3 linked regions of the Drosophila melanogaster genome follow. Changing the gene in region 1 together with any one later gene gives a genetic interaction. Each region holds a gene or a part of one and is shown on either strand. Other genes may lie near its edges.

The links.
Region 2: of sqh (region 1) and Rok, changing one suppresses a phenotype caused by changing the other (phenotypic suppression), as found in Drosophila melanogaster (2 studies listed by BioGRID).
Region 3: of sqh (region 1) and AMPKalpha, changing one suppresses a phenotype caused by changing the other (phenotypic suppression), as found in Drosophila melanogaster (2 studies listed by BioGRID).

Annotation. Positions count from the first base shown.
Region 1 is NC_004354.4:6,220,715-6,228,084, forward strand, and holds sqh (spaghetti squash), read right to left. Parts: upstream 4,427-7,370; 5' UTR 4,293-4,426; exon of another isoform or gene 3,983-4,292; intron 3,807-3,982; exon of another isoform or gene 3,697-3,806; intron 3,444-3,696; exon of another isoform or gene 3,403-3,443; 5' UTR 3,291-3,402; coding exon 2,871-3,290; intron 2,798-2,870; coding exon 2,693-2,797; 3' UTR 2,347-2,692; downstream 1-2,346. Other genes in the region: Efr (ER GDP-fucose transporter), read left to right, coding at 668-1,726; dtn (detonator), read left to right, coding at 5,461-5,506, 5,726-6,018, 6,086-7,201, 7,263-7,370. UniProt on the Drosophila melanogaster protein: Required for cytokinesis, could regulate contractile ring function.
Region 2 is NC_004354.4:16,633,343-16,640,868, forward strand, and holds the start of Rok (Rho kinase), read right to left. Parts: upstream 4,073-7,526; 5' UTR 3,086-4,072; intron 3,020-3,085; 5' UTR 2,942-3,019; coding exon 2,880-2,941; intron 2,326-2,879; exon of another isoform or gene 2,233-2,325; coding exon of another isoform or gene 2,198-2,232; intron 1-2,197. Other genes in the region: RpS19a (ribosomal protein S19a), read left to right, coding at 4,891-4,961, 5,064-5,463; SNRPG (small nuclear ribonucleoprotein G), read right to left, coding at 6,638-6,688, 6,751-6,898, 6,964-6,995.
Region 3 is NC_004354.4:1,372,032-1,380,468, reverse strand, and holds AMPKalpha (AMP-activated protein kinase alpha subunit), read right to left. Parts: upstream 4,934-8,437; 5' UTR 4,714-4,933; exon of another isoform or gene 4,600-4,713; 5' UTR 4,561-4,599; coding exon 4,282-4,560; intron 3,774-4,281; coding exon 2,304-3,773; 3' UTR 1,573-2,303; downstream 1-1,572. Other genes in the region: CG3719 (uncharacterized protein), read left to right, coding at 146-331, 1,097-1,393; ssx (sister-of-Sex-lethal), read right to left, coding at 7,118-7,311, 7,422-8,008, 8,202-8,383.

The sequences.
Region 1 (7,370 bases):
AAAGACCACTTTAAAATAGCTTTGTTTACGATCAGTTCTATTTTTGGTAAGCATTTTATGCAAATTTTATATCTCCTATAACTGTTAGCTATCGTGATTAATAAATCTCGGAGCCAAATGATTAGCTTCATATGCATTCACAATGCGCAAAGAATAAGTATAATAATTTATGCTAATGTATGTTTTTCTTCGGTATCCCCGTGTGCTTTGCACATACGACGTACGACTGAAATTTAATAGCTCTGAATTGCTGAATTGCAAATTAACAATAATTTAAATAAATAATTTCATCAGTTAGTAGTAATATATTCAAAACAGATTGATTTATTAATAGTGCTAAACTCTTTTTTAGCATAATCAGAGCAAAATTTAGTGGAAATCAAATTGCTTCGTAATCATGGCAATGTTTTGCGAATGTATAAAACAATTTACGTGCATGTGTGTACATACGTACCTACTTATTACCCCTTTAAGATAACAGATAGCACGGAATGTTTTACATGCTAGAAAACAAAATGAAAAAAAAAACACACTTGACAAAAAGTTTAAAAAAAATTTAAAATTGAACACGTACTCTAACATCGATTGTCAAGATGCTGGATTTTAATAGCCTATAACCATTCATATTTTTAAAATTTCTAAACATATACATATTTATCTTTCAGATATGGCTCTGAACCTGAAGGCCCTGCTGGGCATGCTGTTCGTGTTCATCGGCTGCTGCAGCAACGTGGTCTTTCTGGAGCTGATCATTCAAATCGATCCGGGAGCGGGTAACCTGATCACCTTCGCCCAATTCCTGTTCATCGCGCTGGAGGGTCTGGTCTTCACCTCCAAGTTCTTTACGGTGCGACCGAAGATTGCGCTGAAGGACTACGTCATCCTGGTGGCCCTGTTCTTTGGGGCGAACGTTTGCAATAACTATGCCTTCAACTTTAACATACCCATGCCGCTGCACATGATCTTCCGTAGCGGATCACTGATGGCCAACATGATCATGGGCATTGTGCTGCTGAAGAAGCGCTACAATCTGCGACAGTACAGCTCCGTGGCCATGATCACGGCTGGCATTATATTGTGCACTCTGGTCTCCAGTGGCGATGTCAAGGATAATACACATCACAGCCTCAAGGTGGATACATCCTACTCCGATTTCTTCTGGTGGACGGTGGGTATTGGCTTGCTGACAATCGCCCTGCTGGTCACCGCCTACATGGGCATCTACCAGGAGGTGATATACAAGAAATACGGCAAGCATCCCAGCGAGGCCTTATTCTTTACGCACATGTTACCTTTGCCCGGTTTTCTGATCATGGCCGGCAATATAGTCCAACACTTTGGTATCGCATGGTCATCGGAACCAGTGGCCGTGCCACTGCTGGGAGCCATTGGACTGGAGTGGAAATTCCCGCTGATGTTGTTCTATCTGCTGTGCAACGTGGTCACCCAGTATGTATGCATCAGTGCCGTCTACGTTCTGACCACCGAATGTGCATCGCTAACCGTAACGCTGGTGGTCACCCTGCGCAAGTTCGTCTCGCTGCTGTTCTCGATCATTTATTTCCGGAATCCATTCACCCTAAACCATTGGGTAGGCACCATCCTGGTATTCTTCGGCACAATACTCTTCGCCAATGTGATCAACCAGGTGAGGGACGCCTATCGGGCCAGGTCGAGCCGGAAGACCCACTTCGACACCGCTCCGCTGGCCAAGAAGGTGGAGTAATCTTCGCGGGCTGTGATGGTTCCTGCTGCAGAGGCCATTAACCATTAACCATTAATTTGTAGTCGTAGCGCCTTGTTTGTACATAGAATTTGCCTAGTGTTTAGACGCCTCTTTGTCTGGTTTGTAATTCTTGTGTCCGTGTCTTTCTAGATTTTCAAATGTTCGTGTTTTCTTTTAAATTAATAGTTGTCCAAAAAGTGTGTAATATACAACGTTGAGTGTTTCGAACATTAAGCCATCTATTTAATTGATTTTTTTTTAAATAAATTCTTGAAAAACATATATTTGCAGAAGCTGAAATATCTTCGAATCAAAAATAATGTGAGATAAGATATGAGTTTGCAAGTTCGAGTCTTTTGGACATGAACTCATTAGTCAGCTTGTCGAAGATTCCAAGAAAATTTTGACTAATTTCCGAAATCTCTTTCAATTTCCCGCCACATTTGAAGCTACATACACTTATCACATCGTGCTAGTGATCATGCTTAATTAGCCATGGGGGGTACATATTCCAAAGTTTCCCTTGTTTGATCAGTTGCTTTTGGCTGAAGGATTTCTGCAGACATCTGTTTGGTTGGACGTGCGCACGTTCTCGAGTGTAAGAAAAACAAAGGTTTATTGCCACATTCTTGTATAAGTATGTATTTGTATATAGGTAATATATATGTATATTCAATGAGTTAATACTTATGAAAGGAGTTTTTCGGGAAATCGTGTTATCTGGCACCAACATCTCACACACTACACTGTCGTACATAACAATCGCTGGTGTTGGCTACTTTTTGTTTAATTCAAATGCACGGATAAGTACAGGATTATCAGGAATCAAAGAACAGAAGGCGCGAAACCAAAAAAAAAAAATATTTATACTTGTATATATTAAATTATCAAAACGAAACTCATGATGGATAGTTTGGACAGGCTGATTGGAGAGGCAGCTGGCTAGTGAATCGACTGCTGGCGATCTTACTGCTCATCCTTGTCCTTGGCACCGTGCTTAAGGATGCGCGTGAATTCGAGGTAGTCGAACAGACCGTTTTTGATGGGCGCCTCCCGATACATCTCGTCCACCTGTGAATGTAAATGGAAAAGAAGTTGTAAGGGCACACTCCGACTTGATATCGTAAACAACTTGACAACATACATCCTCGTCTGTGAACCGATCACCCATGGTGGTCAGCAGCTCCCTCAGGCGATCCTCGGGCAGGACGCCCATATTCTCCTCGTCGAAGCAGCCGAAGGCGTTCTTGATCACATCCTCGGGATCGGTGCCCTGCAGCCGCTCGCCGAAGAGCGTGAGGAACATGGTGAAGTTGATGGGCCCGGGCGCCTCGTTCATCATGCCATCGAGATAGTCGTCCGTTGGGTTCTTGCCCAGCGAGGCCAGCATGTCGTGCAGATCCTCCTTCTCGACGAAGCCATCACGGTTCTGGTCGATCATGTTGAATGCCTCCTTGAACTCGGCAATCTGCGCCTGATCGAACATGGCGAACACATTGGAGGTGGCGCGTTGGGCGCGCTTCTTGGTGGTGGCGCGACGTCCGGCGGTCTTACGGGATGACATGGTTGCTGTTGGATTGGTGGTTCTGATGCGGTTAATGGAGCTAAATGGAGCCGGCCTATGGAGCTGGTGGCACTAGTGCTTCGCGCTGGAGTGATGTGTGTGCGGCGTGGATCTGAAATCGAAAAACGCCGACTCACATTAGCATTTCGTTGGCCGGGTATGTATTTATGGCTATATATAGACATATTGCAGCGAATTCCGCTGAAACCGATTTTCATTGCTCCCCAAACAAACTGTGTCAACATACAGTGGACGCTCGCTACAGTGAGTACACCATGCATATGCTTATCACAACGGAAAGAACATCTTATTGCTGCTCTTTAAGGTTTTTTAAGGAATGAAGGTTTGGCCATTGCCTAAAATGGGCGAACTACAAATTATATTTATAAATAAATAGTTTTAATACAGTTTTAGGCCAGAAAGGATAATGCAAAAGCAGTTCGATGGCTCCATGCTTCCGCTACAGTTACAAGTCCACCTTATCGGGCGCCCACTGTGAGTACGACTCATGCACGCACACATGCGCAGCTCTCTGAGTCACTCGCGCAAACGAAAATGACACGTATGGGAGTTTCGCTCTCGCTCTGCGCCAGTGCGTGCATGTGTATGCGAGTTTATCAATGCTGTTGAACTGCGGTTAACAAAAACAACATCGCACACGTATTTGGCTCATTGAAAACATTCTCACACACACTGGCACACGCATTTCAATTAAAGCCTTAAAAGGCCAGAAAAAAACCGCAGTTGAAGCACCCAAATTCACTCGAGAACTCAAGTTGGGCCAAATGTTTGCGACTTCGTTGATTTATCACTTTCGAATGGACATTTAAATGGAATTATAGCACAAAAACAATTGTTTTCATTTGCGCGCTGCCGACGCTGACTCATACGCATACACTAACACACACGCACACTCACATAGGGCAGCGCCCTTTGGGAGTTCAGTTCGTTTATTTTATCGAATATGATTGCTTGATTACGCCTGATTTGATTCATACTCACAGCTGCCGAATGCCGAGTGTTTAATACTATCGAAGTTTCGTTAATGCAACTTTCGACCAGCTGCACTTTTGTCTTTTATAATTTCGGTTCGACGAGAAGGCCAAGTGTGACCAGCATAGAGGCGGTTTCAATTTATCAGAAAATACCGCAGAATATGCTAAAAATTACTGTGCAAAAGTGCTAATTGTTGGAGCTCCTAAAATAAATAAATATTAAGACTATAAATTATATTATAAAATATAAAATTATATTACAAATGTGAATACTACTGAGACTAGGACCATGGCTATTAGAATCCTAAAAACCTATTGTCAGTTGTGCTACCAGATCTTGTTTTAAAATATTCGTTCCTAAGAAGCTCTTTTCTTGTAGAATCTAAAGTTTCTCAAAAAATTTTCTTAAGCAATCCCAATTAATTTTATTTTTCTTTATTCTTCACTGTCAAACATGGTATTTTTTTTTTTTTGGTATTAACTTTTTGAATTGCCCGCGTTCTGATTGGAGTTTCAGGAGTATGCGCACAGTCTGGCAGCCCCATATTACAGCACTTCCAAATACGGTAGTACCACTATCTTAGGATATTGTTTTCAATACGGTATGGACACACTGCAAAGTGTTTGGAATGTTCGATATTTGTGTAAAATTCTGAGAGACCTGAATGAAAAGAGGCATGCATTAGGGCGTCGAACGAGGGATTTTCCAGCCCAGCAGATCCTTGCCAGCGCGTGAAAAGCGAGTCGAGTGAAAAATCGAATCGATTGGCACGGTTGCGGTCCAATTAATTTCGAACTGAACTGCGCGATTTGCAGGAGAAGATGTGTCTATACCTGCATGTGCATGTGTATCTGTGTGTGAGGTGGCCCACGGCTGTGTGTGTGAGCAGCGTGTGAGTGTGTGTTGGTGTGTGGGTGTGTGGGCACACTGGAAAGAATCAATAAAGGATGTGCTGCGGATTGCTGAGCGAGAAAAAAGGACGAAAAGTGCTAGCCAGCGCGAATTAACGGTTGACTTTTGGCACGATTAACGGAATAACGGTCAAATAAGCCACACAAGCGAGAGAACAGTGAAAATAACGAAAGTGCGGGCACAGTTAATTAGCAAATTAACGAGTGGGTGGGCACAGGATTTCAGGATTTCGATATATTTTGGATTCCTGCACACGAACAAGATGATGAGATACTGCCTCATAATTGCTTTGCAGCTGTCGTTGGCATGTAAGTATCAAATAAAGTTTCCAAACCCAGGGGGGTGGTACAAAAAAAGCGATGGAGTGGGAGGAGGGAGTAAGCCAGTGGGAGGGGGATAAAGGAGGAGTGGGTGACCTCCGGGTTTAAGAAAATCCCCAACCCCTATGTTACCATTACCAAAATTCAACTAATTGACTCCTTCATCTACTCCCAACCCATAACAAATCCATGCCGAATCCTCGCCAGACTCCGTGGAGGTGCACTTCGAGGCGCCGGACAGCGGCTTCTTTCTGAAGCACGCCCGCCAACCACCTGTGACGCCGGAGATCGCCAATGTGCAGACATCCTCGGCGGTGCCGCCGTTACGGCAACGATCCTCCTATGATTCCGTGTTATCTCTGGACAGATTCACTGTGGTCGAGACCACGCAGCCGGTGTCCATACGCGCCAGCTATGGACCGTTTTCCACGAAACAAACGGTGCCAGCCCGCTACATTGTGCCGGACACAATGGACAGCCAGTCGGGCGATTATATGAACGTGAGTTATCCCCAAATCCTGGCAAGCAACAAAAGGACGCCTTGTCATACCACTTTCTCTCCCACAGAATGCCACTCTACTGGAGCTCCAGCAGCCAAATATGCACCTGGACATATCCGCCCATTTGGTTCGCTCCAGTGTATCGCAGGATGCTCCCGTGCTTCGGGTACTATTCCACGCCGGAGCCGATCCGGGTGGTCATTTGCAGCGCCAGAAGGTCTGTGTACTCCTGCACGTGGCGATGGGTTCGGAGCAGCCGCTCAAAGGACGCTGCATGCCGGAGGGCGAGGACGGTGTCTGCGTAGCCGAAGTGGTCGTGCCCCTGGGCTGGTGGCCCCAGCTGCCGGCGCCCACACAAGATGGCAGTGGTCAGGCGCCACCCAAAGTACCGCAGCGGTATGCCCAGGTCTCGTACAGTGTCTTTGAACCGCCTTTGCGTAATCCCGAGCAATGCGAGCCGAAGGTGCAGATCCAACCGTTGACCACATTCGCCCAGGTGCCTTTGTTGGCCGCCAGGACTCCCTATCGTATGTTGCGCGCCGATGATGCCGTCACCTTTCTCCTGCCACAACATCCGCTGTATCCACTCTCCCGTCTACATGTGCCCGTCTTTTTACATCAATATCCCGATCAGCGGGTGGCCGCCTTCACTGTGAGAGCTCGTGTTAAGGCGGGCTTAAAGATTCTGGGCGCCACCGCCTCCACAGACCAATGGAGCGTTTCTGTAGAGAAGGAAAATCCCAAACACACTACCGCTCGCGTTACTGCTTTCCGCAAAGAGGCCGAATCCAGTCTGGAAAGTGGTGGCAACCTAACCAGCGAGGTGTTTGAAGTATTCTCATGGCTGCTCGAGGTGGCCGAGGACACCAATGATATTGTGGACGGTGGCAAGATTGTGTGGTCCGTGACGCATGTCTATGACACGCCAAAGGACAAGGATTCCGGGGAACTGGTTATACCCGATGACAACAAGAAGCGACTAATTGCCAAGCTGGAGATCAACAAGGATGACATTCAGGCGGTGCTACCGATGGCCAAAATCTGGGAGGTGATGAACACGGCGGTGCTAACGGGCAGACAGGTGGCCCAGGCGATGAAGGTGTTCATCGTTTCGCAGGCAGGCAAGGTGGCCGATGTGACGCTACAGAGCTCCTGTCACGCCGAAGATGAAAGTGTAATCAAGGTGCGTCTGATGACTGTGAATCGTGCAATTGCTAGCTAAATAACCAATCAACTTCTTTCAGGTCTCCTCCTCCTGCAGCTCTGTTTATGTGGATGGCTCCGAGCAGCGCGGCTCATCCAATGCCTCGGTCATTGTCAAGTATGGCACCTATGTGGGCGTGGCCAAGTTC
Region 2 (7,526 bases), about 10 Mb from region 1:
GAAGGGAGGAGTTGCAGCCCATGATGGCGGGGCGGCAATTTACAGATCGAAATAAGTAATTCTAGATCAATTCGACAGTAGAGTACTTAAGTGCTAACACATTGACCGCAACTGTCTGCACAGCGACAGTGTAAACAAAAACAGCGACAGGCTTTCAGATCTTGGAATTGAAGTGGCGGTGAGTCAGTGGAGGAGCGGACAGACACCGAATGCCCCGGAGATTTGTCCCAATCGGGCGCTTTTTAGCGGCAGACAAATGGGCGGCACATGATACGGATACAGATGAAGGCGTTATCGCACTGGAAACACTAGCCACCATTGATAACCTGGCATAGGCATAGTCCAGCTAATGTTAGGGGAGTCCAAAGTGCCAAAGTAGTGGAGGAGGGGGCGAGGAGGGGCCTTGACTTTATCACCCCACGCTGTTGGCGACTCTGATAAAATGAAATGGAATGGAATGGAATGGAATGGAATATGCAATGCAATGAATGCAAGCCATGTGCAGGCCACTGACAGCAAACTTGCCGTTGATACGGCGCACTTGAGCAGTTGGAGCTGATACAATGATGAGCACACTGGAGGTTCTAACCGCCGTGCGAATGGAACCAACTGCCCACCTTGTTGGTGGACACACATCGGTACACAGATATCACAAGGAAAAATCAAGTTGTTATCTTTACAACTGATATAGAATTAATAATATTCGTGGAATATTAAATGGCTTGATTTTGATTCAGGCACAATGACTTTCATTTATACAAACATATTTATCAGGGGAGCCGGTTAATTTATGCATTTTCATGAATCAAATATTTACGTAACTATAGTATAGTAAAAAGCATAGTACGCTATATTATTTTATCAGTAAGTGCGGATTTTAAAATCTCAAAAAACAAAAACACTGCTCTGATTCACCAAGCGTTTCATTCTTTATAAATGATATTAAGAATATACAAATTGCTTATTTACTTTTGAATGTAAACAAAAAGGTAAGGTTCATTCTTCGGAGAGTGTATGTATGTACATAAATCATGGAAAATAAAATCTTGCGAATGTAAATATATAGAAAATTAATTATAACAATTAGGTATTTGCATACGAGGTTACTAGAGCATGGGAAAAGCGCTCTTTCAAATGGAATTTCTCGGCAAATTAAACTACATATTCGGCAAAGAATGAAACAATTAAATTTGGCCTGCCAGTGCGTTGGTTCTGAATTTCTAAATTTAAAGGCATTTTCCGGTCAAAAACTAATTCCCGTAACCAAGATTTATGTGCAATTAGCAAGATGCAAGATGTCGGAGATGCGGAGTCAGTCTGTCAGCGATTGGGAATCGAATTTCGGTGCCCAGCAAGCAAAAGTCAGACTCAGATGCAGGAGCAGGCAAACTGCGATGACAGTCGGCGCTAAAAATTGATACTAAAAGGTGTTTGAATTGTTGTGATTTCATCATCGCCACTTACGGCATGACAGAAAAGCCAAAAACAAAACGCTCAAGCAGCGGGTAATAGCAGCACACACACACACCATACACAAAAGCAAACAACTTGGGAAAGTGGAATTTTCAAAAATGCTGCGATGAATTTTCGTTGCCGCTGTTGATTTCGATTTGGCCAAAGCGGCAAAATGGCAACAACAACATAATTATGAGCAACATTATTGACAACAACAACGGCAATAATAATACATAATAACCAACGACGACGATGACGACGACGACGACAACATTATCGTCACCTATAGACAATATAATTTTCAACTTAATTTATACAACGTCGCCAAATTCGATCTGCCAGTTTTTACAAATTGAACGCTTCACATTCAACACACAGAGATAGAGAGTGGTACTGCATCTGCGTTGCAGAATCTCTTCACACCTTATTAATTCTAATTAATTATTTGCCCAGGCAGCACAAAGGAACTGTTCGGCTTTTATAACCAAATGCGCATTGCAATTGGCCATTGTTAGTACGCAAATGCCTTAACGTTTGCTTCGCTTATGACTGCTTACAGCAGATACCGAGTGGGGATGGGTAATTAAATTTAAGTATTTATATGCATACTCGACGCTGCGGAATTGCTGGGCAAATTGTATTCTCGGAATTTGGAATGCAAGCGAACCAGGACGACAACTGGTAGCTGAGAGCTGGATGCTGAATGCTGAATGCTAGGAGCGTGGAGATGAGAACAACGTACCGTTCCGGCTCGCACGAATGGAGGGCGGCGGGCATTAGCCATGTCCCCATGCCCTATACCGTCTACTGTCCAATGGAAGAAACCGGCGTGGTGCTGGCTATCTATTCTACCTTTTTGGCCCAAAACGATGCAAACGATGCAGCCGATGCAACGCGACGCCTGCAACTGACAAACGGCGGCATCAGCCACTGTGCGTTCGTTTTAGTTCGCTTTTCGTTTTCGTTTTGGTTTTTTTTCTTTTTGGTTTGGTTACAAATTTTAATGCGAAAATGGCAAATTTATTATAAAGTCGCCCCCCGTTTTGTTCACTCGCTTGTCAATTTGATTGCCGCGCTGTCGCTTTGAACATGAGATATGGAAGGTGTTTGCCAGCGGTGTATTACTTTTTGATTTGTTTTGGCCAGGCCCGTTTGGCTTGCGCTGAATTGTGCTAGCTGGCTAGTTGGCTGGTTAGGTGGTTAGCTGGTTAGCTGCTTAGCTGCCTGCTTGGCTTGGTCAGTTGAACAAATCACAAATCTGTCTGTACAAATCGCACGTATCTGTGCGATGGCTACTGCCACTTCTACTTCTACTTCGACTTCTACTATTGCTATTGCTGCTGCTGCTGCTGCTGATGCTGCCATTCAGGTGACAATTAATTGAGTGGAGCAGTCGCTTTTGGGCCGCCATCTCGTGCACTCACCGGCGCCTTCGTTCCACATCCATGCTGCGCTGCTTGGTCACAGTTTCTCGTCCAGCTGGCATGCAAATGCAAGATAACAAGCTGATACTGCTGCTCCAGCTGCTGCTTCCTGTTGGTCAACTGCTGCTCCTGTGCTGCAACTGAAAGCGAAGCAAGGGTTTAACAGAGTTCTCTTCGGGGTACACATATTTATATTGTACATTTACCTGCCAGGAGTTGTTGGACGTCTGTCTATGCTGGGAATGCTAATAGTAATGAGGAGAGGAGGCACGCGTCAAGCGCTAGTTGTTTGCTGTTTGCTGGCGATGAGGTCACGAGTGTTTCGTTGGATTTCTGGCTAACTGCTGCCACTGAACGCCAATCGAATACGGATGGGGATGGGAATGGGAATGGGTATGGGTATGGGGATTGGGCACTTGGCGCTGGCTTCTTTTGGTGGAGTGCCGCCAACGCCACATGCGGACGCAGCCGAGCACCCGGGCGTTCCCAGGTGCGTTTCCCACACGGCAGGCAGGTGTGCTATCGATTCCCGGAAAATGCTATCAATCTAGTTTACTTCCTGTGCAAATGGGATCGTAATGACCAGGATGATCACGTTGACCACGATGGATTGTTGGGTAAACAAGGGAACGGGGATTATTGTCCGCAGTCCGCTTGGCATGCAACAGTTGTGTCAACACTTGTGGCCAAAAACCTGGCCAAAATGTGTCGAATGCGGCGGATTGGTGGTGTTGAAGGTGGGCTTTTGTTTCTCGGCCTTTTGAGTTGTTGGTTTTTGTGTGCCCCAATCAAGTAGCTTTTTCCTTCTTCTATTTTTTTGTTAATTCCAACGATACCTCTGTGCACACACACTTACACGAGCGCACGCACACCAGTGCACTGCGAACGGCGAACGTAGCAAGCGCTACAACAACAATAACAAGGCGCTTCACAGACACACACACACGCGCGCACACACCGATGTGCGTCACACCGACGTACTGTCCGTCGGCAGCGGGGGAAACGCACGGGGGGGCGGGACGGGACGGGGGCGGCTGACCGCCCAAATTGCGAATGTCCAGTTTCGGCCGCGGCCAAATAGATCAATTTGGTTTCAATTAGACGCTGCGCGTTGCACTTATTTTATTTCGGCTCGGTGCTGGTAGAGATGGCAATTGTGTTTACATATCGAAGTTGAAGTATCGAAGTCACTAGGCGCCGATGAAAATACCAGAATATACCAGGGCCAACAGGTGGCGCTCCAAATGGCGATGGTGCTGCGGCAATATCGGTTGTCTGCGTCATCGATGGGCCGCTTGTTATTCGATAGACTCAGAAACTAGCTTCATGAATAGTTATGTAAATCGGTTGCTAACAAAATAAAAAGCAGTTATTTATGAATAAAGTGATACAGCAAAATATGAATTGTACTACGCATTCTTTGCCCACATTGAAAATATACTAATACGAAAATGCATGTTTAGACAAGGTCTTCAAATGCCAAGTAATATATAATATAATCTTGGTGTGCTCATTAATTTAAATATTTTTAAAAATAACTATAAATTGAACACATACGTGTTAGAGTATCATTAACCGAATCTTCGATAGTTCGCCGCGCCGGCATTCGATTAATCGATACTATTGCTGGTGGCAGGCCCAGCACTATTAACCGCAGCCAACTTCACGCGCCTTGTTCTTTTTTCCGGTTGACTTTAACGAGAAAGGTTGTGCACGAATTCTTTTCAAGTGAATTATCTTTTTTTTTATGTTTTGAATGGGTGAAATTCAATGAAAGAGCCCACGCCAAGTGGCAAATGACACAATGGGCCGGCCGTAAACACGAAAGGACAGCTTTTTTCGGGTTAAAACTTCGGCTGGCAATTTTTTGTTGTGCCCGTGCATGTGTGTGTGCGAGGGAGAGAGAGAGAGAGAAAGAGTGTGTCTGTGAGAGAATCGTGGAAATCGCGACAACGTGTTTTTGGCAGCATTGTAATAGATTCCCCATTTGTTTTTCCCGTTCTGCCCGCAGATGCCAGGCGTCACAGTGAAGGATATTGACCAGCACGCGGTTACCAAGGCGGTCGCCGTCTTCTTGAAGAAGTGAGTACTGAACATCAAGTATATTTCCACCACATAACCTCACAATCCATTTGTTTATCCCCCCCCAAAAAAAAAAAAAAAAACACGAAAAAAACCAAATAGGACTGGCAAGTTGAAGGTGCCCGACCAGATGGACATCGTCAAGACCGCCAAATTCAAGGAGCTGGCGCCCTACGATCCCGACTGGTTCTATGTGCGTTGCGCCTCGATCCTGCGCCATCTGTACCACCGCAGTCCCGCTGGAGTCGGTTCGATCACCAAGATCTACGGCGGACGCAAGCGCAACGGTGTCCACCCCTCGCACTTCTGCCGCGCCGCCGACGGTGCTGCCCGCAAGGCTCTGCAGGCCTTGGAGCACGCCCGTTTGGTCGAGAAGCACCCGGACGGTGGTCGCAAACTGAGCTCCATTGGACAGCGTGATCTGGACCGTATTGCTAACCAGATCGTGTTCAAGCAGCGCGATGCCGCCAAGCAGACCGGGCCCATTGTTATTTCCAAGTAATCACACGGCGCCCCTTCGAATTCTAAAAAACGCATTTTTAGACTTCTATTGTAAGCGCTTTTTGTTTGCACGAGAGAGATGAGAAAATAAAACCAACCACAATTTGTAAAAGTCTACGAAACATGCGTTCTTCGAATGCTAGAAACATTTTTTATGCGGTCTGTAAACAGGGGAATAGAATAGCTCCTCTTGGCAATGTAAAAAAGTGGTAGATTTATCAGGATGCTGCTCATATTAGTAATATGCATGTGCGAAGAACAATGTGGACAACAGCTACATTTGGCGTAATTAACTAGCCAATTTATACTTTTACCGAGCCTTCACATTGTTAATGGCTTTCCTTCTATTGCTAAACTATCAGTATCAGTTTGGTATTCTGCCCTTAGAAGGTGCATAGTTTCATTAACAATCCATGTGCTAAGTGGTTGCTTGCCTTGCAGAAATAAACATTTTATATCTATACACACTGCTCATGTGCGACAGCATAGTTCATTGAAATTTAGTCATGCGGACTTGGTAAGGTTAATCTTTAGATTTAAATCATTCCCTTTTTGGTGAAATGGTGGAGCTGCCTTGCTTCAATATATATTGTGTCTTGTTTTCTATTCCATTTCGACAAATAAAATCTGCGGATAAAGAACTTTCTGATATACTTGAAGTAAACTTCTTGCATTGATTGAAGACTAAAAAGACGTAGCCTTTTATTTTGTCGATCGAACATTGTTATACAAATTCAAAAGGAGATGGCCAAAATCTTTCAACAAGTAAGGCACTAATAGCCGAAAATAAGTTAAATTAACAAAGAAATCAAGAAGCCAAGCATTTGTATAAAATCAAAGGCACAAAAATTGATTTGGAAACCAATTATGTGTAAAGCTATCTGTGTTTGCATTTCTTGGAAAATACATTTGCTAGTCTTGGCGACGTCATTTAAAGTGGCAATCTTCCGACTCAAGTTCCCAATGCAGTAAATCCACAAAGTACGCAATATTATTAAATATTTTCGACTTATTTTCCAAACTGCTCATATAAATTGTCAGTTCAAAAAGGGGTATCTTTGTTATAGAATTTATTCAAGAGTTTGTGTGTTTCTTCTGACTATGAATGTTACGGAGCCTTAAGACTAAGCACTACGGCTAACGATGCTCGACGAGATCGGGTTCCGAGGCGGGTGCTAGACCCTGTCCAGGGCCTCCACCATGACGATGCTGTTGCCGCGGATAACCTGGCCAGGTGGGAAAAACGAGTGAGTCGATAGTTTATGGCAGGGTATGCTGCGCATCTTACCACCATGCCGATGTTGTTCTTCGTGTTGTCCTTGCACTCCTCCACCGTGTCGTCCAGGACCACGTTCATGAAGGGATCGAAGCCTCGCAAAATACCGGTCACCGCGCGTCCGCCGTTCAGTTTCAGCATCATGCGCTTGTCCATGTATCTGCAAGTTGTATTGTTAATTGCATTTATGGAGCGCTATCTTTTTCCCACATGGGTTGCACTTACTTTTTCACCTCTGGGGGATGGGCCTTCGACATTTTGATGGTTTAATTTGCGCAAAATGGGAAAATTAAGTAAAAACGCGGACCGCAAGCTAGAGATGTCACTATTGATTGGAGCTATACTATCGTCTTGGTCACTCTACCAACTGGTCACACTTTCGGGCGGGAAAAATATTTTTCCGCCAAATTCGCTGGCTTTTAAGTGCTCACATAAATGAAATTTTCAAATAGCAAATAACATAGGAATAATCCTTCTAAATCGCAATATAAAAACATATATACAAGGAGTGGTAAATGACAGTATTCTATTAATGGCAAAACGATTTATTTAAACAGACGTCGCATCCGCATAAACGATCTTTCACACTTTTTATTAACGGTTAGTATAAATAAAAAAAAACATTAATCCTTAGTTTATTTAACCAATTTTGTTTGCTGAAATCGATTCTTGAAAGAGAAGCTGACATTTTTTTTATATATGCCTCCCTACTTCAGGCAGTGCGAACATACCGCATCAACGCGACTTGTAGCGGCCGTGTGAAAAGGCTATTTTGTGGTTAGCGCAGA
Region 3 (8,437 bases), 4.8 Mb from region 1:
ACATTAAACGCATACACATCACGTACGGAACAACCAGTTGGACATCCGAGACCCTGCCAGATATCTAATCGCTGCGAGAGTGCCTGTGTTACGCATCCGAATCCGCATACCCATCCGCCCCCGTACTGAATTTCCGCAATCCGCAATGCTGAAGATCGCCGCCGAGGGAATCGCGCCACGTCTGGCGGCGGCCTGTTGCTCCATTGGAGCGAAGAGCAGAGGCCAAAGAATGGCGCCCCAGGCGGCCAGGGGCACCCAGAAGTACCTGTCGCAGTCGCAGCACCTCCACAAAATGCTGGTCATCAAAGACCACTACGAGTTCGATCAGAAGGTGAGTCAGGATTATGCAACGAAACGGGTTGCGATGGCCAGGAACGGCAGCAGGCAACGATGACCTTGTGCGCTGGCCTACGTGCTTGGGTTTGGGATACTTGGGAGGAGCAAGGGGTGCAGGCAGGGGAAGGGGACGAATCCACCCCATGACGTACTTGGCCGTGGACCCGTCCATAGATACAAACATATGTGTGCGCACACTCGCCTCAGTTCTGTTTTCAATTTTGTTTTCGGCCTGTGCTCGTGTATGCAAATGAGCCCCAAAACATTGGATACCGGTTTAAACCCCTTTCAGCCAGCCGCTGCGTCCGCGAAGAAACGGGAGCCAGCTGCAGAAGACCCTTCAGCATATCGCTCCATGGCCGAGTTATCAATTGCAGTTGGATTAGGCGAGATAAGAGAAACGTGAGTCACACACACACACACATTTTGTAGCCTCCCAAGTGACCACCCCGCAATCTCAGAGTAGACGGAATTTAAAACTACTAATATAGCAGACACTGGCTACAATTGTATGAATCACTCACTATATGAAAACTGCAGTATTCTGCCGCAAATCAATCTCGATAGTCACCCCGGCAGCCGCAGGTCCATCTCCCCTTTTTAGCTATGACGTTATGCCTATAAGTGGCATAATCTGGCATACTCGACGTTGTGGTGACGTTATGGGGATGACAATGAGGTGTTTTGTTAGTTCCGAGCAAAGCACTCCAATTTTAAAGTCTGTTCAACCACCACCTATGTATTATGCCTTGTTCCGCAGGTGATCAACAGCGACAACCCGGTGATCGTGAACTTCCACGCCGAGTGGTGCGACCCCTGTAAGATACTCACGCCCAAGATGCTCGAGCTGCTTGAGAACTCGAACGAGATCGACCTGGCGGTCATCGATGTGGAGACGAACCTGGATCTCGTCGAGACCTTCGAGGTGAAGGCCGTGCCCGCTGTTCTGGCCTTCAGGAACGGCGTCGTAGTGGACAAGTTCATTGGTCTGGTCGACGCCAACAGCATCGAGACCCTAATCGACAAACTGAAGCGGAAGCAACAGCAGAAGCAGTAGTGAGCTGGAGCGGCGATGCGATGCACAGGTGGATTAGATCAGGGATGCTATGATTTTACACACGAAACGGGAGACTGGAACTGCGATATGAAGCCCAATGCCGAGGCAGAATTTGCAATCATCGATGCTGAAAGAATGTGCACAACATACCTTAATATGCAATAAAACTAACTTTAATTATGGCTACTCTTAATTCACACTTCGTCCACAATCGATTTAGAATATTAATGGATCGCTTTATTGTTTGGTTGGTTCAGATACAGATACATAAAACTTGGTCCACATCTGGTTGTTATCTGACAGCTTCCCCAGACGAGGTTCCAATTACAATTCGTTAGGCATAATACAAATACATCCACGTGCACATGCGGTTTGGATAATAACTCAACTTGCTTATAAACATAAATCGAAATAGAAACAGAACAGAACAGAAACGGATCGAAGCCCGCCGACCGGGCGGAACCTACAGACTTAGACTAACCGGAAGCGGAAATCGATACGGCAAAGCGGGTAACGGTAGCGTAGCGGCAACGGCGGTTGGCGGTGTCCGAGTTCAATAACATTTTATGTGGATTACACAGCCGCACAAAGAAAAGCTGGAGTCGGAGTCCCAAGCTCTTGTTCGTCGTCTAGTAGCAGGCCATTTTTAAAATCTATTCCCAAATCCTGCTACCGATAATTGCACATTGGGTTTCCGATTAAAATCAAAAGGGTTTGGGACGAATGCAAGAACTTAGTCATGTGGTTAAGGCCAGACTCCGGGATCCGCGGAGCCCGAAACTCCCCCCAGCTTTCCTTTGTGGGACTGTGTCTTCCGGGTAATGGTCAATCCTCAGGACTGTCCGAGTGCGGATCGCCAGCCGAGAAGATCCCATCCGGTCCGCTGCGGCCGATGGCGGTCACCTCATCCTTAGCGAGCCAGTTGAATGATCAGGGCGGCGCACATTTCGAAAAACTCCATGGTGTGGTGGCCGGTCGGCTGCAGCGGCATCACCCCGGACACGCTAAGCGGCGGCGGAGTAAGGCTCTCCATGATGACGTCGTCGCCCTGCTCGACCTCGTCGTTGGTCAGCGACTTGAAGTCGAGCAGATAGCTCTTGGCGTCCACCTGGTACAGCTGCAGTGACATCTTCGAGAACTTGCCGGTCTTCACGTTCTGCCTGCGCACCCGAACGTGGTACGGATTGATGATCTTCCACTCGTAGCTGAGTGCCTTCATCGCTCGGTATACCTCGAGCATTATGTCGTTGGGCTTGCTCTGCGACCGGATGCCCAGATGCCACTTGGCGCGCTTGATGGGAGTGCCGCCACGTGCGGTTTTCTCCGGGAAGGCTCCGCCGCCAGATGTCTGCACGGACATGGCCAGTTGACGGTCCCGCATCGGCGCAATCCGCTCCGGATGCGGTCGAATGGGTATGGTGCTGCTAGGCGTGCCTCCAGCCACTGGTGGCACTGGTGTGGCGGTGCCCGAGCTGGCTGAGGTACCTCCGCCAACGGTCACGGTGGCCAGAGGGGCTTGGTGGTCCATCGATGATTGGGGAACGGGCGGAGGCGGCGGCGGTGGTGGAGAGCCGGCCACAAAGAAGTTGTTGATCTCGTTTATTTGGTTGGCCGCGTCGTCGGCGAAGCGTTTGTTGTCGATGATCAGATGGTAAGCGATGGCCAGCTGATCGTGCGGATCGCCGCTGAGCAGCGAGTTGTGCACCTCGGTCTCCTTGACGCCGAACTTGGTGCAGACCTCTGCCACAGCGTAGGTGTCGATCACATTGGAGTCCTGCTCGATGGACGAGGGGAAGAGGTAGGCCGGGAGGTCCTTTTGGAACCACTCGTGCTTCTTGATTTCCTCGATGTTGGCCCGCTTGAGCGGGTCCACTTGCAGCATCTGACAGACCAGATTGACCACTTGTTTGTTGAGGTACTCGGGAATGGGGAAAATGCCCGACTTGATCTTGCGAAACAGCGTAGGCACATGCTCGTCGTCAAAGGGCAGCGTCCCGCACAGCAGGGCGTACAGGATGACGCCGCACGACCAGATGTCCACCTCGGGACCGGCGTACAGCTTGCCGGAAATCACCTCGGGCGCCGCGTAGTTGGGCGAGCCGCACGAGGTGCGCAGGAACTCGCCGTCCAGCATCATGTTCGAGAGCCCAAAGTCGGCGATCTTCACGTGCATGTTGTGGTCGAGCAGCAGGTTCTCTGGCTTCAGGTCTCGATGCACGATCATGTGCCGGTGGCAATAGTCCACGCCAGAGATAATCTGCTGAAAAAAGCGGCGCGCTTGGTGCTCCTGCAGCTTGCCGTGCTTCACAATATAGTCGAACAGCTCCCCGCCGCTCACGTACTCCATGATCATGAAGATGTCCGACGGCGTCGATATGACCTTCGGAGAGTTACGGAAAGGTTAGCAAGCACGTTTATATCAGCTGATGACTGCAGCCGTCCCTAGGTTCCCCCAAGCCCTGCCTAACCTAATTGGTAACTGATCCAATCCGAAAATCGAGGGAAAATGTGCTTGTAAAACCAAAGCAGACCCCGTACATATTCCTTTTATAAACTTTCCTTCCAAACTTTTTGCTCATTTAAGTTGGGCTTCTATGTCTGTTGCGAATGTCTAGCCAGTGGCCCAGTTTCTAGATATGCATTTGCCTTCCGCAACAAAATTCGGATGACTAGGCATGACCGTGTACTTTATAGATAAACAAACCTCCAAAATGTTGTTATAGAAAAGCTATTCCCCCTTCGGGCATATCCTGCCTTTTTGTTTATTAAACTGCGGCTTGATTGTTTGTTATTAGTAGCTGGCCAGCGTAATTGGAAGAGGAAACCAGTAACCCAGTTTCCTGGAAAGCTTGGACTTAGAAAGTCTAAGCTTGGAGCCATGAACTCACCTGGTACAACTTGATGATGTGCGGATGGCGGAAGAGCTTTAGGTTCTGGATCTCACGCCGGATCTTGCCCACGACGTCCAGGCTTTTGATCTTCTGACGATTGAGTATCTTGACGGCCACCTTGACGCGTGTGATCTGGTGCTCGCCGATCTTCACCTTGCCGAAGGTTCCCGTTCCCAGGGTTGCGCCCAGTAGGTAGTGCCCAATCTTGACCAGCGGCTGGCCATTGGCGCTGCCGGCGGCCACCGCCTCAGCGGCCGCAGCCCTCATCTGGGGCATCTCGAGCAGGTAGCTCCTTGTTGGACTGGGGGTGCTCCACTGCTCCGCTGCGGATGGGCGCGGAGAGGGGAGCGGTGGTAAGGTCGTTATCGGTTATTGCGTAGTGTACTCCGCTGAATCAACAGAATAGAATAGAATAGAGCAGCCACTCACGTTACGTTCTTCCTGCCAGCCGTGCCACCTCGCCCGGATACGGATTCGGATGTCAAAGTGGTTGTGGATGTGTCAAGGGCGGTTGAATTGATACTGATTTCCTGGATTTCTATTCGAGCGCGGCAACGAGACTCTCCTTTACGCTTGGGTTTTCTTCGCGTTTTGCTTATTTAATTGACATTGGAAGGCGCTGCCACTTCCAACAACACTGCCTTCCAACAACACTCGTTCCAGCAGCTGATTCGCGCCCTCTCTTTCTCTCTCTCTCTCGCCTTCCAGTGGCTATCGATAAGTGGCGGCCAGTGATGCCAGGTAGTTCCGCAGTGGCGCGCAATTTAAAACCATCTTGCCACTTATGCTGAATTTATAAAAAGCAATATTAATGGCTTTACTCAACCACATTTGAAATAGTTAAGCTCGCAAAAAAACTAGTAGGTGTGCGTTGTCGAAACTCTCTGATGTCCAATTGAAAGGGAAAAGATGCCCGTTTTGTGATTTAAATACACATTTATTACACCAAGTTGATTTTTTGGATCCACTCCACGCGCATAGAAGGTCAGAAAGATACCTCTTTTGTGCAACGTTAAGTGTAGATCAACATTCAATATAGATTATCAAGAATACTGTCCTAAAATTCTCAAAGATGTATGGTAAAATTCAGTTTGTTCACAAATATGCGTGTATATGTCAAGCTTTGTATTTTTCTTTTTTAGTTTCTGTAGTAAAAGGCTGCCACAGCTTCTTGTTTTCACCTGTCAAATAGAACCGCTTAATGACTAGTATATAATGTTCGTGTAAATGCGTTTTTACGACGATCAGGATTCAGCTAAGCGAAAATTGAACATTTTAACTATTTATTTGCTTAGCCTAACATCAATTTACAACAATAGTATATCGTCAACTTAAGCTCTGATCCGCACTGTACTGTGCTGACTGTACCTCAAATCTGTATCATCTCTCTCGCTCTCTTTCGCTGAGGCTGCATCGCACCATCTCGCTCGCAGACTCAAGAATTCAATTTGTGTTCGTTTATTATAAACTTTAGGATTTAAGGTTTAAATACATGTATTTCTTTCGTGCTTTAAGTTTATTCTGAAAAAAAAGTCACCTTAACTATGATATTGCTACGAGACTAGGATTTACGTTTAGAGATTATCAATACTAAAAAAAAAAAATTTCGGACCTCTGGGTCTCACGGGTATGCTGGTTGGAAAATTTCAAGTTTATTTCATATTCAGCCATCTTCTTGTCGGGTTTCTGTTGGAAGTTTACCCGAAGTTCGGGTATTTATACATCATTCATATATATTATCTAATATATAGGTGTTTGTATAGTGTGGTGTTCTTGTTCTTGGTTTGTTGGTAGTACATCAATAATTTATTTATAATGTAGTAAAAAGCAAGTGACGCGAACGAACCCTCGCTGTCGACGTTCCTTATAAGTCTACAAATTAACCATCTATTCAGAGCAAGCGTCTTCTGTCTGTTGTCATAAGGTTCGTCTCTCTATATATCCGTGTGTGTAACGTCCGTCTCACAGTGTCCGGCCGGAATAGTCGCCACATCTTGGGGCTTTGCATCCGTGCAGTTACTCAATTCATTTACAATTCGCAATCCACCAAGAGCGAAGATTGTTTCGTGAACTGGAGATGAGTGCAGGAAAGTTATATTTGAGTTTTGGTTGCGTTCTCGTCTCGTCTTGAGTGGCTGATGGTTTGCGTTTGGGGCTTTGTATGTTGCTCATACAAACTCATTGGAATTTTTTCTTATGTGGTTCGATCAAGGATTCGACTCCGACCGTCTTTATGTGTGTGTGTGTGTGTGTTGTTGGGGATTGTGTAGGCTGGTTAACTTTGGAACATTATTTCGTACATCTTAATACACGCTATGCATCTTTAATTTGCTCTGCTTAATTCTGTGATAGTGTTCTTGTGGTACTGCCTATGTCTGCCGTGCACCTTTGCTTTGCCTCTTGCTGCCAATGCTTGGATTTGCTATTCCTGGCCAGTGTGGTTTCGGGTTATATCGTATGGTCTCAACCAATCCTGGCTCTCTGATATGGATATACATATATGGATAGCAAGATACATACATACACATAGAGAGCGAGAGAGTTGGCTACTATTGGATATCGCTTCTGGGTAATATCTCCTCTTCCCTCCTCCGATTGCACTCAATCTATTTCTACTCGCTTCTACCATGTGGCCACCGCCTCCGCCGCCTCCGTCTGCACTCACTTTAAGCTTGTGGACTGGCTCTGTTCATGGTAACAGGAAGAGAGACCGGAACCGTGACATATACCGGAACATACACGGCCAAAACAGCTGGGTAGGCCGAAAGTGACGCAGCTGGCGAGGAGATGGAAACAACTGATGGATGGGCGGGGGCTGGAAAGTAGAGCGGCACTAGGTAGTCGGAGTGGGAACGGGATCTGCCACCGAATGCGCAATATATCTGATGGTTGTTCTGGAGGCTTGCGGGCGGCGGCTTAAACGGAATCTGCTGTTCTTGTTGGGGCTGTGGCAAATGCCATTGCCTACGGGATGCGGCTGGCTGGGGAATCGGCTGCAAATCGGCAATGGCAGCATGAACACTTCACCTGTGAGATGCAGCTAATATCGTGTAAAGAAATTAATGGCGTTTAAATAAATTTCTGTGCATGGTTATATGGATGCGGTTTTTGAGATCGTGTTGTTCTATTTGATCTACCTCTGTGCGCCATGTGGTGGAAGTTACCACCACCGCCTCCACCGCCGCCGCCACCACCACCACCGCCGCCTCCGTGAATGGGCATGCCCATGCCCATGCCCATTCCCATGTTTACGCCCATGCCCATGTTCATGCCCATCGGGTGCATTTGCTGCATGTGGTGCGGATGCGGGCCGCCCATGTTGTGGTGGTTGTTGTTGTTGTTGTTATGATGGTGGTTGTTGGGGTGATTGTTGTTGTGGTTGTTGGGATGGTGGTGCTGCATGTGGTGCAGCTGCGGATGGTGCTGCGGATGCTGGTGTGGATGCTGCGGCTGATGATGATGCGGCGGCATATGCGGATTGTGGTGGTTGTTGTGATGGTGATTATTGTGGTGATGAGGTGGGTGCATCGGTCCACCTGGGCCCATGTGGGGCGGACCACCGCCTCCGCCACCATTGCCACCTCCGATCTGGGCCATAAACTGGGCCGCCTTGGCCTTGCCGTGTTCCTCGGCGAGTCGTACCCAGATTGGCTGGGATCCGCCCTCCGGCACCGTGTTGTTCAGCGCCTTGATCGCCTCTTGAGCTTCCTCGCGCTTATTGTAACTGCAAGCAAGAAAGCGGGTTTCAAAAGCAGAATCGAAGTAAGTGCAGTTCAGCCACCAGTCGAACTCATGATAAATTTGGACGTGGATTTCTGTGAGCATACAATTAAGTGGGGCACACTGGACGGGAATTGAGCACCGTGACCTAATTTCGAATCGTGGATGCTGCACACGCAGATCGCACCCGTACTCACCGCACAAAAGCAACGCCGCGCGGTCGTCCAGTGAGCTTATCCCGCAGGATGTTTCGCTGAACAATCAGGCCATAGGGCGAGAAGATGCGGTCGAGCATGTCGTCGTTGATGTTTCGCGACAGGTTGATGACGTACAAATTCGTATCCTTAATGGACTGCCCACCCGGTCGAGCATACGACACCTGAGGGAGACGAAAAAGAGAGTCACAAAGGAGTCATGGGAATTCCGGGGGATT